Linked DNA regions of Pelodiscus sinensis. The protein of the gene in region 1 interacts with the protein of each later gene in a biochemical or structural test. Links are inferred from orthologs where the notes say so. Each region holds a gene or a part of one and is shown on either strand. Other genes may lie near its edges. The genes, in order: T-cell surface antigen CD2 and CD2 antigen cytoplasmic tail-binding protein 2.

Region 1 (7,115 bases):
AAAAAGCATTTGGCATTCCTAATGGAACATTCAGAAATCACTCACTCCTGGAAGTGGAACTATTTTAATACTATTCATTCCCCAATAAGTGTTAACAGGAGCACCAAAAATCTTTGTAAAACTTTTTTTAAACAAATAAACATACATTTAATTTAGATACTTGCAATTCCTCAGAATTACTCCCAGAGATTTGAGTGATTATTAGTCATTATTTCTATTGCAAATTCTATAATAATATATTTATATTTTGCATGTGGCAAAGAGGAAAAGGTTGATCAAAATCCTGAGGAAGGAAAGCTCAAATGGTATTCTAATTGACAGACAATTCTGATAGGTCTTTAAAAGTTTGCTTTAAAGTTTGCTTGGTCTCCCATATCATTGGAACAGAAGCCTGAACATCCCAGACAACAGTAAGTCATCTGTCTGGACAATGAAACAATATTTGTGATCATGCCAACTGAAATACTTCTGCCAAGGACCAAGTGATGAGAATCTAGCTACAAACTGCTCTCTTGTAGTCTTGTAGCATATGCACTAAACTAAAAGGAGCAGTGCTTACAGTAACTTTACCCGTCTGAGAAAAGAAGCACTCACTTTTCAAGTGTCAAGCACTTGAAACAAATAAAGCCATTCAAGGAAATATATGTTTTAAGTCCATAGCAACAACATACTCCCTATTTATCTAGTAATTCTATATAGAAAATATTAAACAGCCATCATAAATAATCTACTGTTGGATTTATTCACATCATTCATTAATGATTCTTGTGTACTGGATCCACTATTTCTTGTTATGATTTTAGTTTACAAATTACAACTACATTTTTAGATCCAAGTCTTTTTAAAAGGTTAAATACCAATAAGTATGTCCCTAATGTAACTTACAAATAAGATTAACTCCACTGAGCTATATAATTATTTGTATATATCATCCTTTCTATCAACATTCATGTGTAAAAATACTTGCACTGTCTACAATTTTGTTTCTCTTTAATAAAATGTTATTTTCTAGAAAAGAGCAACAGATCTACATGATGCACAGTGAAGTCTCTCTTGAAGAGGATTGCAAAAAAGTGTTTCACTGAGGACATCAGATAAAACTCCATGCTTACACCTACCTATCAGATAAAGAATTGTTAACTTGAAGATAAAATCATTTACAAAGAATTGTTAACTTGAAGATAAAATCATTTACAGTGTATTATTACAAAAATTATAATAGCAACCATAGGTTATGGGTTCCCATGGACTGAAGGCTAAATAAAATACTAATAGTCACAAGATCTTAAAGCACTTTTCTAAGGTAAGTTAATATCATTATCTCCATTTTACCAATGGGAAAAGTTAGGGCAGTGCTTGATCCTACCAGGAGCTGAGCATTCTGTCCCCAACAGCAAAGCATTTGAGTACATGTTTCAATCTAAGCACGTGAATAGTTCTTTTGAAGTCAAAGGGACAACTCGCATGCCTAAAGTGAAGCATGTTCTTAAGCACTTTGCCTGGACTGGGGACAGAGTACTGATAACTTGGCTGTATTGAGCCCTAAGGGTTTGAGGATGAAATCTTGGCTCTCTTAAAGTCAATGGCAAAGGATCAGGGCCAGAATTTTACCCTAAAAGTCCCCATTGCCAGGTCCTCAAATATCTGATCTTCACAAGGGCTAGGTACAGTTTGGGGGGGCCCTTTAAATGATTTATTTGCCCTGCACTTGCTGTAACAATAGCAATACCCTCGTACAGACCAGGGGACAAATTCATTTCTGCTTTCGGCAGAGTTATACCAGGGGAAGAATGTGGCCCATGATATGTAAGTTAGAGCGAAGCATTTTTATCGGATCACCCGTCCTGCCCCAAGCTTCCCTATTTAGCATTATATAGAGGGTGTTTGGCAGAGGTAGGAATCGGTCATGTTTAGTTTTGATAACACATTTCTATATTAAAAACACTACTGAAGAAATAATCTAAAACATATTGGTAATAATTTGCTCATGAACTATCACTGAGTCAGGGGAAAAGGCTTAAAATATGCCGTGACCCCAAATTCTCATAACTGGGTGAAACCCCTGGAGCCAGTTATAGGTCCCATCCAACTTAAAAAAGTGGTCATATTGTAACTGGATCCCAGAGTCAATTAGAATTGTGGCATAGATGGGTCTAATTCATCACCCTGTTAAGAAGTCCAGCATCCTTTTCTGGGTACAAGGAATGGGTGTTAATCTACTGCAGTTAAAAATGCTTTGAAGTGCAAAGTTTAAGCAAAGCCAGCCTGAAAGAGCAAAAAGCCGGTGCAAACTCACCTGTTACACAGAAGAACAACACCACCAGGCACTTGGCTAATAAAATCCCCCTAATGCTCATTTTCAAAATCCTAGCTCCAAACTATCCCTGCGTGAAGAAAGCTCCTAGCCAGACAGATGAAGTTCTATTATGATCAGCAGTCTTTCAGTGTGTCAGCATAGCCCTTGCACCTCTTGTCCCCTCCTCCTCTTGCTCGCTGTGACACGTCTCATTTCTGTCACACACGTGAACGGAGTGAATCTGGTACTCTGTCCAAGATTGAGGGACAACTTGCAGGGACTAGGAAAGTAAATGTCTCAAACATCAGAATTAACCCCCAATTTTGTCCAACTTGAGAACAGAACCTGAGCCACATCTTCCTTCGATGTTCAGAGAAGGACCTTGATTGCTTCTTCATCCATATCCCAGAGGAAGAGATGTGAGGAAGCCTTACTATTCTTCTGCTGCCACATTTGACCTGCTTTGGGAGGTCTTGTTGGGTGAGAATGAAAGAGGGCCCAGCAACCAGCTTTCTCTCTCCAGGATCTTCAGGGACTAGCCAGCAGTTTAAGAATTTGCTGAAGTCTGTTTAGAGGACGTGTTTTGTGTAGATAACAGAAGCTTCAAAGTAGCTTCAAACAAGAATTTGAACTTTGAGAGGCTTTTGAACAGAGACTGAACTCCAGACTTTATGCAGGTCACCTGTAATTAGCAGTTCTATGCAAGCTTTGTTGAAAGCACAGAAAAAGGAGGAAAAGATTGGTTACAATTTTTCAAATTTAAAAGCGGGAAGGCAGGTCTACACTTGCAACGCTGCATCCACAAAGCTACACTGATGCAACTGCATCTCCACAGCATGTTAGTGAAGATGCTCGGTGCCAATGGGAGAGAGCTCGCCTGTCGGCACAGTTCATCCACCCCTGCGAGAGGCAGCAGGCATGTTGGTGGGAGAAGCTCTCCTACTGACATAATGCTGTCTACCTGTTAGCCGGTGGCCGGGATAATGAGTGGTCTGTGAGTCCTATCACACCCGAGTCTTTGACTGCTAGGACAGAGTCACTTTGCAGCGGGCAGCCAGGGAGGCTGACGGGCGCCCCAAGAGTCTGCCCTGTGGAGGCGGCACAACTCAACGCTCAGCTCTTACTGCATTTACCCCTGACTGGCTATGGTTCTTTTTTATTGTGTTTGGTTCTGTTACAGCAACAGGAGGAGTCAGGTTAAAAGTTTAAACAGTTACTATTTTATTGTTACAAGGCAAGCTTAGCTGTTAAATGTTACTGCTGCATTGCAGATAACGCAGCCACTACAAAGACAAGACAGAAAATACAATAACAGTCACTTAAAGGTACCATGGAATCCTTTTGCTTCTCTGAGCTCTTATTGAATGCACGCAAAAATAAACACCTAGCAGGTATATTCTCACCCCTGCGATCCTTGCTCCGGTGAAGCCAGCGCTTCTCTCAATCCCAATGGGAAGCAGTCGATACGAGATGAAGGCGTCTCTAAAGTCTCAGGGGTCCAAGACCGCCTGACCAGCAGGTATATGGGTGGATCTCCAATTAGAGTGGAGCACAGGGCCCAACTTTATACCCCTGTGGTCACGTAGACGCTTTTCTTGTCATTAAAATGCCAATTAAGTTGGAACGTCTTTGTGACGCCCATTCCCACAGGGGGTCCAAAGCTTAATTTGCACCTGTGAGGTGGAGGTAACTAAATCATTAGGGCCGGACATTCTTTCTGATGGGGCAGCAGATTCCTCTTCTAGGACGGTGTGTGTAGGCGTATCAATACTGGTACTAGCCAAGGGCAGCTCGAGGCCCCGATCGCCTGCTGGACCAATTGCCCTGTTATCTGGTTCCTTTCTAGCATCCAGAGCCATTGTCACCTCTGAAGGCCCTGGAGCCTTTGAAGACAGAGTTTCACTCTCAAGGATTCTCTCTCCCAAGGATGTCAGAGGGAGAAGGGGAGGGGTGGGGGGGTTCTATCTGGCTACACTACCCCAGCGCTTAGGTCAATGTAACTTTGTTGCTCAGGGTGGGGATTTCTCATATCCCTGAGCAATGTATTTACAGCAAAGTAATCCATTAGCATAGTCCTGGCCTTTGGTGAGACTTTTCTTTTAACCATATTGCTTATTCCCTTTCATTGTAGCTACTTTTTATAAGGAAAGCTCTCCCTCTCCCTCTCCCTCATCTGACAGTGGTGGTATTAACAATGGGAACAATGTCTTTTGGGGGAAAGGAGGAAAAGTTAGTTGAAGTTGCTAGAATCTGATCCTGCTTCCTTCAAACCAAAACTGAACTAATGTATACACAAAAGGGGAGAGAAAAGAATACAAAATATAGAAAATATGATTTCTGTCTCAGGTGTTGACTTTCCCTTACAACATGGAGTAAAATGAACACAGCCCATAGTCTTATCAGCGACTGGTGACCAGGCAGTTTAAAGATTTGCTTTTAGCTACCTTTATAACAACAGATTCACAGCCGTGTAGCAAAGGGCAGAGCTACCTTGACTAAGACAGATGGAATGTGAGGACGTCACTTCCTGTTTCTTTGTTCATGGCTGCTGCTTTCCTAAGATGGCTGCAGAAAAAACCCTCAGATCTTGCACCAGGGTTTTATCTATATCCCAAACAGCACCTGAGATGTTGATTCCTGCTGTCATATTGTCTCCCACAGGTGTACTTTCCCCCCCATGCTCTTTGTCTTTCCTTTCTTTTGCCTCAGTCTAATAACACTGCCTGGACTTTTGCTTATGCACCCAGCCAGTATAATCTCCTTAGGACTCTACCCAGTCTTAGCTGCTCCTAAATGTCTCCCAAACAGATCACTATGATACGGCATTAGCATACAGTGGGTGGTCATAGGCTTAGTCCCACCCAAACACTCATGTGCAGGACTGACCTGGCTTGATTCTATTGGATTGGTCTCCCCTCCAGACCTTGGAATACTTCAGCTTGCGCTGGGAGCTGTCTCTAGGTTTCCACCGGTTTGTGCTACCTTGCAGTTTCCCTGACGGTGCTGCCTACCAACCAGAGCAATTGTCGTTACCTTGGAGCTGGCCAGAATCTCTGCCTTTAGCTGGGGGGGTAGTCTGCCAACTCCTCTGTGGTCATATCATAGTACGCCTTCTGGGCCTCCCTGCACAAGTAGGGGGTGAGGATGCCCAACCACAAGGCTGTTCTCTCAGAGGTCAGGAAGTGCCCCATCACCTCCTCCTCCTGTGTTGTTTTCTGTAGACAGTAGCTAGCCTGTATAATCCCTTCATAGCCACGGCTCATCTTTCTAACATCCTTTACCTGGTTTACTAGTTCCTATAGTATGGCCTGATCCTGGCTGGTGCTGCACAGTCTCCTGCTGGGTAGTGGTGGCTTGCACCAGTGCTTCGACCATTCCTCCAGCTTGGGGATAGATTGGTCATGACCTACCCTGTGTTATATTCTCAGCACAAAAATCTCACCCTCAACATCATAGTATGATGGCTCCTGTGCTATTTTTGGTGCGGGGCTAGGTTATCACCCATTGTCCCTGCTCTAATGTCCCAGCTAGTGGCACAGGAAGGTGGTAGAGAAGGGAAGCAAGGAAAAAGTCTGGGTCTGAGCCTCAGCCCCTCTCAATCCCTGCAAGTTTCTTATTCTCTTCCCCCTTGATTAGGGTTACCCTCTGTCCTTGAGGCTGGCGGAGGGAATCCCCCAATGTGTTGGGACAGGGTCTTCCTTCCTTTTAAGTCTCAGCAACACAGCTCCAAACTCCAGTGCTCTCTTCTTCCTCACTCCACACTGTCTGCCTTGAATCACGGGCCAGGGGTTATTAGATTCCTGATAGGGGCTTAATTGGTTACAGGTGCTTCAATTGGCCTGCAGTAACCTTCACTAGTCTACAAGGAGTCACACATTAATGTGATACAGCATTCTAATTAGGTTCCTGACAGGGCCTTAACTGGTTACAGGTGCTTCAATTAGCCTTCCCTAGTCCATAGTGAACCATGCCTTAATTCGCCTAGTGCTCACATATCTCTCCTCTAGCACTCTCTCACTACTCCCTGGCCCTGATGTACCAGAACACCTATATACTTACCATCATAAATGGCTATTCCCTCTAATTCCCTTGGTCCTCAACGTCAATGGTTCAATGATGACTCCCATTGACATCCCTAAAATGGGTTTATAAAAGTGACAAAAGATATAGCAGTGTCAACTTACATTTGTGTGCATGAGAAAAAGCTATTGGTTACTCCTGTACATCTGGAAGCACAGAAGGGGCCCATGTTTGTTTAGACTTCCACCAAGGTAATGCCATTATTGCTTCCAGGCCAATGGTAACACTCACTCAGCAATAGTTTTAATGAATGCTAATTATTAATGTATCCATAACTGGTGTACTGAATTTTTGGTAAATTTCTTCTACAGAATAGATCATAATTCCTATGTTCTATATATATAGTATACAAAGATGTGATATTGACTTCATGTTACATAATGCAACCATGCAGAATATTCATGCACATTTTGTATTATACCAACATATAGAACCAATAAATGTAGGAGTTAATATATTTGTATTAAAGCAGTTGGTGAGACACCTAGACTGAAAGAAACACTTAAAGGAGTTAGAACACCAGAACAAAGAAGGCCATCTCTCAGATCACTACCCCTTGCAAAAACAGAAAAGTTCTTGAAGAGAATATGGGTATGAATCATCTTTTGCACACTGGTGGGAAAGTTTATACTCTAGTCCTCCCAGTTATAAGGAAGCATGGAGTGTCACCTTATAAGGAAGCATGGGCTGCCACCAGTAAGGACCAAGATTATGCCACCATGTAAGCCTACTAATAAGA
Region 2 (7,810 bases), on another chromosome or scaffold:
CCGCCCGTCAGCCCCGCCACGCTCACTCCCCGCCCGTCAGCCCCGCCACGCTCACCCCCTGCCCCCAGCCCCGCCACGCTCACCCCCTGCCCGTCAGCCCCGCCACGCTAACCCCCCGCCCGTCAGCCCCGCCACGCTCACTCCCCGCCCGTCAGCCCCGCCACGCTCACCCCCTGCCCCCAGCCCCGCCACGCTCGCCCCCTACCCGTCAGCCCCGCCACGCTAACCCCCCGCCCGTCAGCCCCGCCACGCTCACCCCCTACCCGTCAGCCCCGCCACGCTCACCCCCTACCCCCAGCCCCGCCACGCTCACCCCCCGCCCGTCAGCCCCGCCACGCTCACCCCCTACCCCCAGCATGCCACGCTAACCCCCCGCCCGTCAGCCCCGCCACGCTCACCCCCCGCCCGTCAGCCCCACCACGCTCACCCCCTACCCGTCAGCCCCGCCACGCTCACCCCCTACCCCCAGCCCCGCCACGCTCACCCCCCGCCTGTCAGCCCCGCCACGCTCACCCCCTGCCCGTCAGCCCCGCCACGCTCACCCCCTGCCCGTCAGCCCCGCCATGCTCACCCCCTACCCCCAGCCCCGCCACGCTCACTCCCCGCCCGTCAGCCCCGCCACGCTCACCCCCCGCCCGTCAGCCCCACCACGCTCACCCTCTGCCCACCAGCCCCGCCACATTCACCCTCTGCCCACCAGCCCCGCCACGCTCACCCCCTGCCCACCAGCCCCGCCACGCTCACCCCCTGGCCACCTGTCATCCCCGCCATGGTCATCCCCCTACTCCTCAGCTCCTCCATCCACGGTTATCACCTGCCCAGTCATCAGCCCCGCCACAGTCACCTGCTGCCCACCAGCCCCGCCACAGTTTGCTCCCTCAACACTACCCCACCAGTTTCCCTGCCTCCTGCCCCTGCCTCTGGAGACCCTGTGACCTGTCAGTCCCACCACTGTCTTCCCCACTTCCTACCCCTGGGAGACCCCCCTGCCCATCAGACCTGCTGCCATTTCCCCAACTTCATTACTACCCTGTCTCCCCTGCTCTGCACAGCCCCAGATTGGTCTACCGAGGCAGGACCCCCCACTTCTCCCCACAGGAGCACTCTCCAGCCCCCATTCTCCCCTCCTTCCCCCCGGATCATACACTCACCCCTCACCTGCCTCCCATCCTTCCCTTCTTCCCACCCACTCCCCAGGGTCCCCCTCCCCAGATCTTTGCCCACTCAGCTTGGTCTCCCCTGCCGAGGGTCTCACCCTCCACGTCCTCCGATGCCAGGATGTCGTATTTACTGGCCCGGCCGTCATCGCCCTCCTCATCCTCGTCTTCCTCGTCGCTGTCCAAGGAGTGTTTGCCCTTGAAGCGGCTCCCGGGGCCGCTGGCCCCCAGGCCAGGCTCTGCCAGCTGGGGAGAGAGGGAGACTTAGATTCCCTTGGTCATCCCAAAACACAGCACCTTGATGCAACAGGCCCCCCACTCACCAGCATCATCCTGAGACACCCAGGAGAACCCTCAAATACCCCATGGTCACACCCTCTCCAGCGACCCCCTCCAACTCCCAACAGAGACCTGTACCCTTCACCAGGGTACCTCCAGAGACCTCTCTCACGTCCCCACCCGCACAACAGGCCTCCCCTTTGTATCCCTCCCCCATGCCTCACTGCCCCACAGAGATCCCTCCCCACATCCCTGCCCTCATAACTCACCTTCTTCTTGGGCATGGCCAGCTCCTCCTCGTCCCCCTCCACCTGGTCCTCAAATGTCACCTTGCGCTTGGGCATGGTGGCCCGATGCTCTGGGGAGGGAGGTGAGTAAGGAAGGGGGCGTCCGCCGCTGCAGCCCCACACGACGGGCCCCGCTGCCCCTAGCACCTGCAGCCCCACACGACGGGCCCCGCGGCCCCTAGCACCCGCAGCCCCACACGACGGGCCCCGCGGCCCCTAGCACCTGCAGCCCCACACGACGGGCCCCGCGGCCCCTAGCACCTGCAGCCCCACACGACGGGCCCGCGGCCCCTAGCACCTGCAGCCCCACACGACGGGCCCCGCGGCCCCTAGCACCTGCAGCCCCACACGACGGGCCCCGCGGCCCCAGGCACCTGCAGCCCCACACGACGGGCCCCGCTGCCCCTAGCACCCGCAGCCCCACACGACGGGCCCCGCGGCCCCAGGCACCCGCAGCCCCACACGACGGGCCCCGCGGCCCCTAGCACCCGCAGCCCCACACGACGGGCCCCGCGGCCCCTAGCACCCGCAGCCCCACACGACGGGCCCCGCTGCCCCTAGCACCCGCAGCCCCACACGACGGGCCCCGCGGCCCCTAGCACCCGCAGCCCCACACGACGGGCCCCGCTGCCCCTAGCACCCGCAGCCCCACACGACGGGCCCCGCGGCCCCAGGCACCCGCAGCCCCACACGACGGGCCCCGCGGCCCCAGGCACCTGCAGCCCCACACGACGGGCCCCGCGGCCCCAGGCACCTGCAGCCCCACACGACGGGCCCCGCGGCCCCAGGCACCTGCAGCCCCACACGACGGGCCCCGCGGCCCCAGGCACCTGCAGCCCCACAGGCCAATGACACGCCAGAGACCCGGCCTCAGGCGAGGCGCCACCGGAGCATCCTCTCTGCGCCAGGCTGCAAACCCGCCCCGGGCACAACGTGCATTTGCATATGCAAATGAGCCCCCCAGGCCCCGCCCCGCAGGGACACGGGCCCAAACTCCAGCCTCGCAGCTTCCCAATTTGCATATGCAAATGACTCGCTTCCACCGTGCTGGGCGGGCCCAAGCGCTCGGTTCAGCCCAGCCAAGGGCCCCCCTGTGATGCCTAATTTGCATATGCAAATAAGATGCAATAGTCCGGCCCGGGGGAAATGCGCAGTACGGGTCCTGCCGCCTCATTTGCATATGCAAATCAGCCCGTTCGGCTCGGGCCGGGCGCCCCGGTACCAGCGGGACCCCAAGACCCTCACAGCCCCTCATTTGCATATGCAGATCAGCGCCCCCATCGGCTGCGCCACTCACTCACCTCCGGGGCTCGCAGAGCGCCCTCGCGCGGCAGCCACTTCCGGGTCACTCTGCCCGGATGTGACGTCGCCGCAGGCCCTCGCCCCGCCTCTCGCGCCGGGTTGATCTCGTTCGGGCGAATAGCGCGATAGGTGACGTCACAATGGCACCTGAGCGAGGGCCCCCCATCGCGCAGGAGCCCAACGGCGGGTTGGCGGAGGGGCCGGAAGTGACGTTTTCTCCGGGCAGCCACCGCTAGCTGCGGCTTCATTGGCTGCCGTGCGGAGCGGGAGTCATGGCAACGCTTAAAGGGGCAGCAAGCGCCCCGCCCCCCCCCCCCCCAGCACCTCGGGTCTGACGGGACAGGCCCAGGGCATAGGCCCCTCCCCCTCCACGGGGCCACGCCCCCTGCGCCCCCCCCGGCAGGCGCACCGGCCCCCCCTGTTTTCCGGGGGGGGGGCAAGGGGCCCGGCCCCTCGTGTTTCACCGGGGGGGGGGGGCGAGTGGGGCCCTGCCCCCCCCCGCGAACCCGGGTCGCCTTAGGACCGAGCGGAGCCGGCCGCGCCCTGGCTGCCGCGAGACACTTCCGGGGGGCGGGGCCGGGAGGGAGCAGCCGCGCGGGCAGAGCCGGGCAGGAGCCAGGTAACGAGCCCGGGCGGGGAGCGGCCCCCCCCCTCCCCGAGCCCCCCCCCCCCCCGAGCTGAGCCCCCCCGCCCCCAGGCCCGGGCCCCGCCCCCCCCCCGAGCTAAGCCCCCCCGCCCCGAGCCCCGCCCCCCCGCGCTGAGCCCCCCGAGCCCCGCCCCCCCGCGCTGAGCCCTGTGCCCTGCCCTGGGCTCCCGTGCTGAGTCCCCCGCCCCGAACCCCCCGTCTCAGGCCCCGCCCCGAGCCCCGCCCCCCCTGAGCTGAGCCCCCCGCCCCGAGCCCCGCCCCCCCCCGCCCCGAGCCCCCCCCGCGCCGAGCCCCGAGCCCCCCAGGCCCGGGCCCCGCCCCCCCCGCCCCGAGCCCCGCCCCCCCGAGCTGAGCCCCGCCCTGGGCTCCCGTGCTGAGTCCCCCGCCCCGAACCCCCCGCCCTGCGCCCCGCCCCCCCCGACTTGCCCCGCCCCGAGCCCCCCTTGCTGAGCCTCCCGCCCTGGCCCCCTAGGCCCGGGCCCCGCCCTGCGCCCCGCTCCCCTTGCCCTGCCCTGGGCCCTCTGCGCTGGGCCCCCTGAGCCAGCCTTGCCCTGAACTCCGGGCCCCCAGCCCTGGGCCCCATGTCCCGTTCCCTGCCCTGGGGCTGGGGCCCTGCCCGGGAAAGGCCCCACGTCCCGTTCCCTGCCCTGGGGCCCCCTGCCCGGGAAAGGCCCCACATCCCGTTCCCTGCCCTGGGGCTGGGCCCCTGCCCGGGAAAGGCCCCATATCCCGTTCCCTGCCCTGGGGCTGGGGCTGGGGCTGGGCCCCCTGCCCGGGAAAGGCCCCACATCCCGTTCCCTGCCCTGGGGCTGGGCCCCTGCCCGGGAAAGGCCCCACATCCCGTTCCCTGCCCTGGGGCTGGGCCCCCTGCCCGGGAAAGGCCCCACATCCCGTTCCCTGCCCTGGGGCTGGGCCCCTGCCCGGGAAAGGCCCCACGTCCCGTTCCCTGCCCTGGGGCTGGGGCTGGGGCTGGGCCCCCTGCCCGGGAAAGGCCCCACGTCCCGTTCCCTGCCCTGGGGCTGGGCCCCTGCCCGGGAAAGGCCCCACGTCCCGTTCCCTGCCCTGGGGCCCTGCCCGGGAAAGGCCCCACGTCCCGTTCCCTGCCCTGGGGCTGGGCCCCTGCCCGGGAAAGGCCCCACGTCCCGTTCCCTGCCCTGGGGCCCTGCCCGGGAAAGGCCCCACGTCCCGTTCCCTGCCCTGGGGCTGGGCCCCTGCCCGGGAAAGGCCCCACGTCCCGTTCCCTGCCCTGGGGCCCTGCCCGGGAAAGGCCCCACGTCCCGTTCCCTGCCCTGGGGCTGGGCCCCTGCCCGGGAAAGGCCCCACGTCCCGTTCCCTGCCCTGGGGCCCTGCCCGGGAAAGGCCCCACGTCCCGTTCCCTGCCCTGGGGATGGGCCCCTGCCCGGGAAAGGCCCCATATCCCGTTCCCTGCCCTGGGGCTGGGGCCCTGCCCGGGAAAGGCCCCACGTCCCGTTCCCTGCCCTGGGGCTGGGCCCCTGCCCGGGAAAGGCCCCACGTCCCGTTCCCTGCCCTGGGGCTGGGGCCCTGCCCGGGAAAGGCCCCACGTCCTGTTCCCTGTCTCCCCTCTCTCAGGTCCCTGCCCACATGAAGTTGCATGAAACCGGCGTCCTGGGCTACTCCCGCGTGGCAGTGCCCCCCGACCGCCAGGGCCGGCTGTACAAGAAGAGCGAACGCAGCAGCACCTACCAGCGCCGCTGGTGCGAACTGCGAGGGAACTTGCTCTTCTACTGGGAGCGGCAGGGGGACCGGGAGCCGCTGGGGCTGATCCTGCTGGAGGGCTGCACGGTGGAGCTACAGGAATCCGCCACAGAGCCTTTCACCTTTGAAATCTCCTACCGGTCGGGCCACCGAGCTTACAAGATGGCTGCCGAAGACCAGGCCTCCATGGAGGGCTGGGTACGGGCTCTGAGCACGGCCAGCTTTGACTACCTGCGGGCTCTGGTGACTGAGCTAGAGGGACAGTACCGGGCCAATGGGGTTGCCCCGCCAAAGGAATGGGCTGTTCAGCACCGCCCAGTGGTGTCAGCGGTGGGATTGCCAGACTTTGAGGGGCTGCACCAGCAGTTTGGGAAGGAGATTGTGAAGCTGCGGGCGAAGTGGAAGGAGGCCAGGGCAGAAGGGACCCAGCCAACACAGGGAGACCTGATTGATTTGGGGTAGGACGGGAGCAGGGAAAGGAGAAGAGCCAGAGGGGGTAGGGGAGTCCTATTCCATGCCATCCAATGCAGGAGAAACATGCAGTGTGGGGGACCCAGGGTGGGCTAGCAGGGGCTGCAAGCTCAGCTCAAGGGACAGACAGAATGGGAAGGGGCCGTGTCTGGCTTGGATGGACTAGAAACCCTCCCCCCCGGGTTAAGGAGGCAGAGATGCTCCCTCTGCCTTGCGGTTCTTCGGGAAGTGGGGACCTTTCAAGGCCAAACCTTTGCACTGAGGCGATGCTTTTCCAATAATAAACGTGTTCTGTCGGGGCCTGGGCTCAGCCACGTGAATTCACTGTTTGGTCACCTCTGGCCAGCAGTGGGGGGCGCTGAGTGCAGGGGGCAGGGCAACGGCTGGGGCAGGGGAGCTCCTGGCTACTCCAGCGGGTGCTGTGCGGAACAAACGTCCTGCCTGCCCGGTGAGAGCTCCCCCCACTGCTGCACTGGGCTCAACTTGTGGGTCTGAGAAATCCCCATTCATTCAGCCAAAGGAGGCTCTCGGGCCACAGGGACAGGCAAAGCAGGAAACGCTCCATCAGGGCCCTGCCTGCGGCTCTGACCGCCTTCAACAACCGTTTCCTGCCCTAGGAGATCAGCCAGGCTCCTGCTGCCCTCACCCAACCTCCACTGGCGCAGCACACACCGTCCAGGCTTCGCCCCTCCAGCATGCAGAGCCTGGTCCCCCGTGGCCACTGCTCCGCCACTAACCCCAGTGAGCCGGGAATAGAGCCCAGGAGTCCTGGCTCTCACTAGCCTCAGAGTGGCCCTCAGGGAACTGAGGCTCATCTCAGGCCAGTGCCCCATACCCCCAAGACCAGAACCCAGTGGTGTGGATACTGGGGGTCTCCATTTCCAGGCAGGCTGCGTGATTCACCCTGTGGCGGGACAAGGGGGTGAGTCTGCAGAGACCCCCTAGCCCAGCCCGCCTCTACTAGCGTCTTGGGCCCAACCAACAGGCAGCCAGTGGTACCTGGCAACCGCTGAGCCTGCACTGGCAGGAAGCTGGCCCATTCTGACCCGCTGGAAAGCAAAGCTTGGGGCTGGGGCCCCTACCCCTGGGGCTGGGGCCCCTACCCCTGGGGCAGAGACCTAGGGGCTGGGGCTGGCTGGAACATCCTGCTTTCTACGCTGATCCAGACTGGCAGACGTCCCTGAAGGGAGCTCGCAGTGTGGAACGGGTGCTGACAGCTCTGAGGCAGGGCCCGCAGGGTGTACCCTAGGAGAGTGCCACACGAGGCAGCCTAGCCACGATCCACTCCGGGCTGCTCCAGAGCACAAAGCCTATTCATCTGGGACACCCTCACCCCTTTCAAGGGGCAGAGACCCCCCCCCCCCCAGACCAAGGACTCAAAGGCCCTCAACCCAGCGATCTTCAGAGACGCAGCACCCCAACCCATGTTCCCTCTCATCCCCCCGGGCGGAATAGGTGTTCTCTGCACTGAGACCTGTGAAACGTGCACCACCAGGAGAAGCAGGCTGCCGGCCATGGGTGCTCTGCTAATCCGCTGGGCAGCATCTGAAACCCTCCTGGGTGGCCTCCCACGCACCCAGCCACTGAGCAGCAAAGAGCCACGCTCCCCTCCCCGAGGGTTCTCAGATCTAAAGGCCAGTGGCCTTGGAAGAACAGCCCCCGACTGATGCTTCTCAGAGACCTGCAGCCCGGAGCCCCTGGAAGAGCCAGACTAGCCCCATAGTACTAGAGATGCAGCCGTGAGAGTCTGAAACACCAGCCAGGGCTGTGCGGCACTTTACAGACTAACAAGATGGTTTATTAGGTGACGCCTGCATCCTGCTTCAAAGACATTAACACCAGACTTGAAAGAGAAACCTCGGAACTGTCATTCATGCTTCAATTCGACACTTTACGCTGGGGTCTTAACAAAGACATTAATTATCTTACCCATTCCAAAGAGCTTCCCCAAT

The links.
Region 2: the proteins of T-cell surface antigen CD2 (region 1) and CD2 antigen cytoplasmic tail-binding protein 2 interact in a biophysical measurement, tested with the Homo sapiens proteins (6 studies listed by BioGRID and IntAct, with this or other methods). The link is inferred for Pelodiscus sinensis from reciprocal best matches to the Homo sapiens genes CD2 and CD2BP2.

Annotation. Positions count from the first base shown.
Region 1 is NC_134711.1:162,236,916-162,244,030, reverse strand, and holds the start of T-cell surface antigen CD2, read right to left. Parts: upstream 3,016-7,115; 5' UTR 2,358-3,015; coding exon 2,297-2,357; intron 1,135-2,296; exon of another isoform or gene 1,013-1,134; intron 1-1,012. UniProt on the Homo sapiens protein: CD2 interacts with lymphocyte function-associated antigen CD58 (LFA-3) and CD48/BCM1 to mediate adhesion between T-cells and other cell types. CD2 is implicated in the triggering of T-cells, the cytoplasmic domain is implicated in the signaling function.
Region 2 is NC_134714.1:134,633,311-134,641,120, reverse strand, and holds the start of CD2 antigen cytoplasmic tail-binding protein 2, read right to left. Parts: upstream 3,201-7,810; 5' UTR 3,025-3,200; intron 1,795-3,024; 5' UTR 1,781-1,794; coding exon 1,706-1,780; intron 1,404-1,705; coding exon 1,256-1,403; intron 1-1,255. Other genes in the region: sesquipedalian-1-like, read left to right, coding at 5,274-5,849. UniProt on the Homo sapiens protein: Involved in pre-mRNA splicing as component of the U5 snRNP complex that is involved in spliceosome assembly.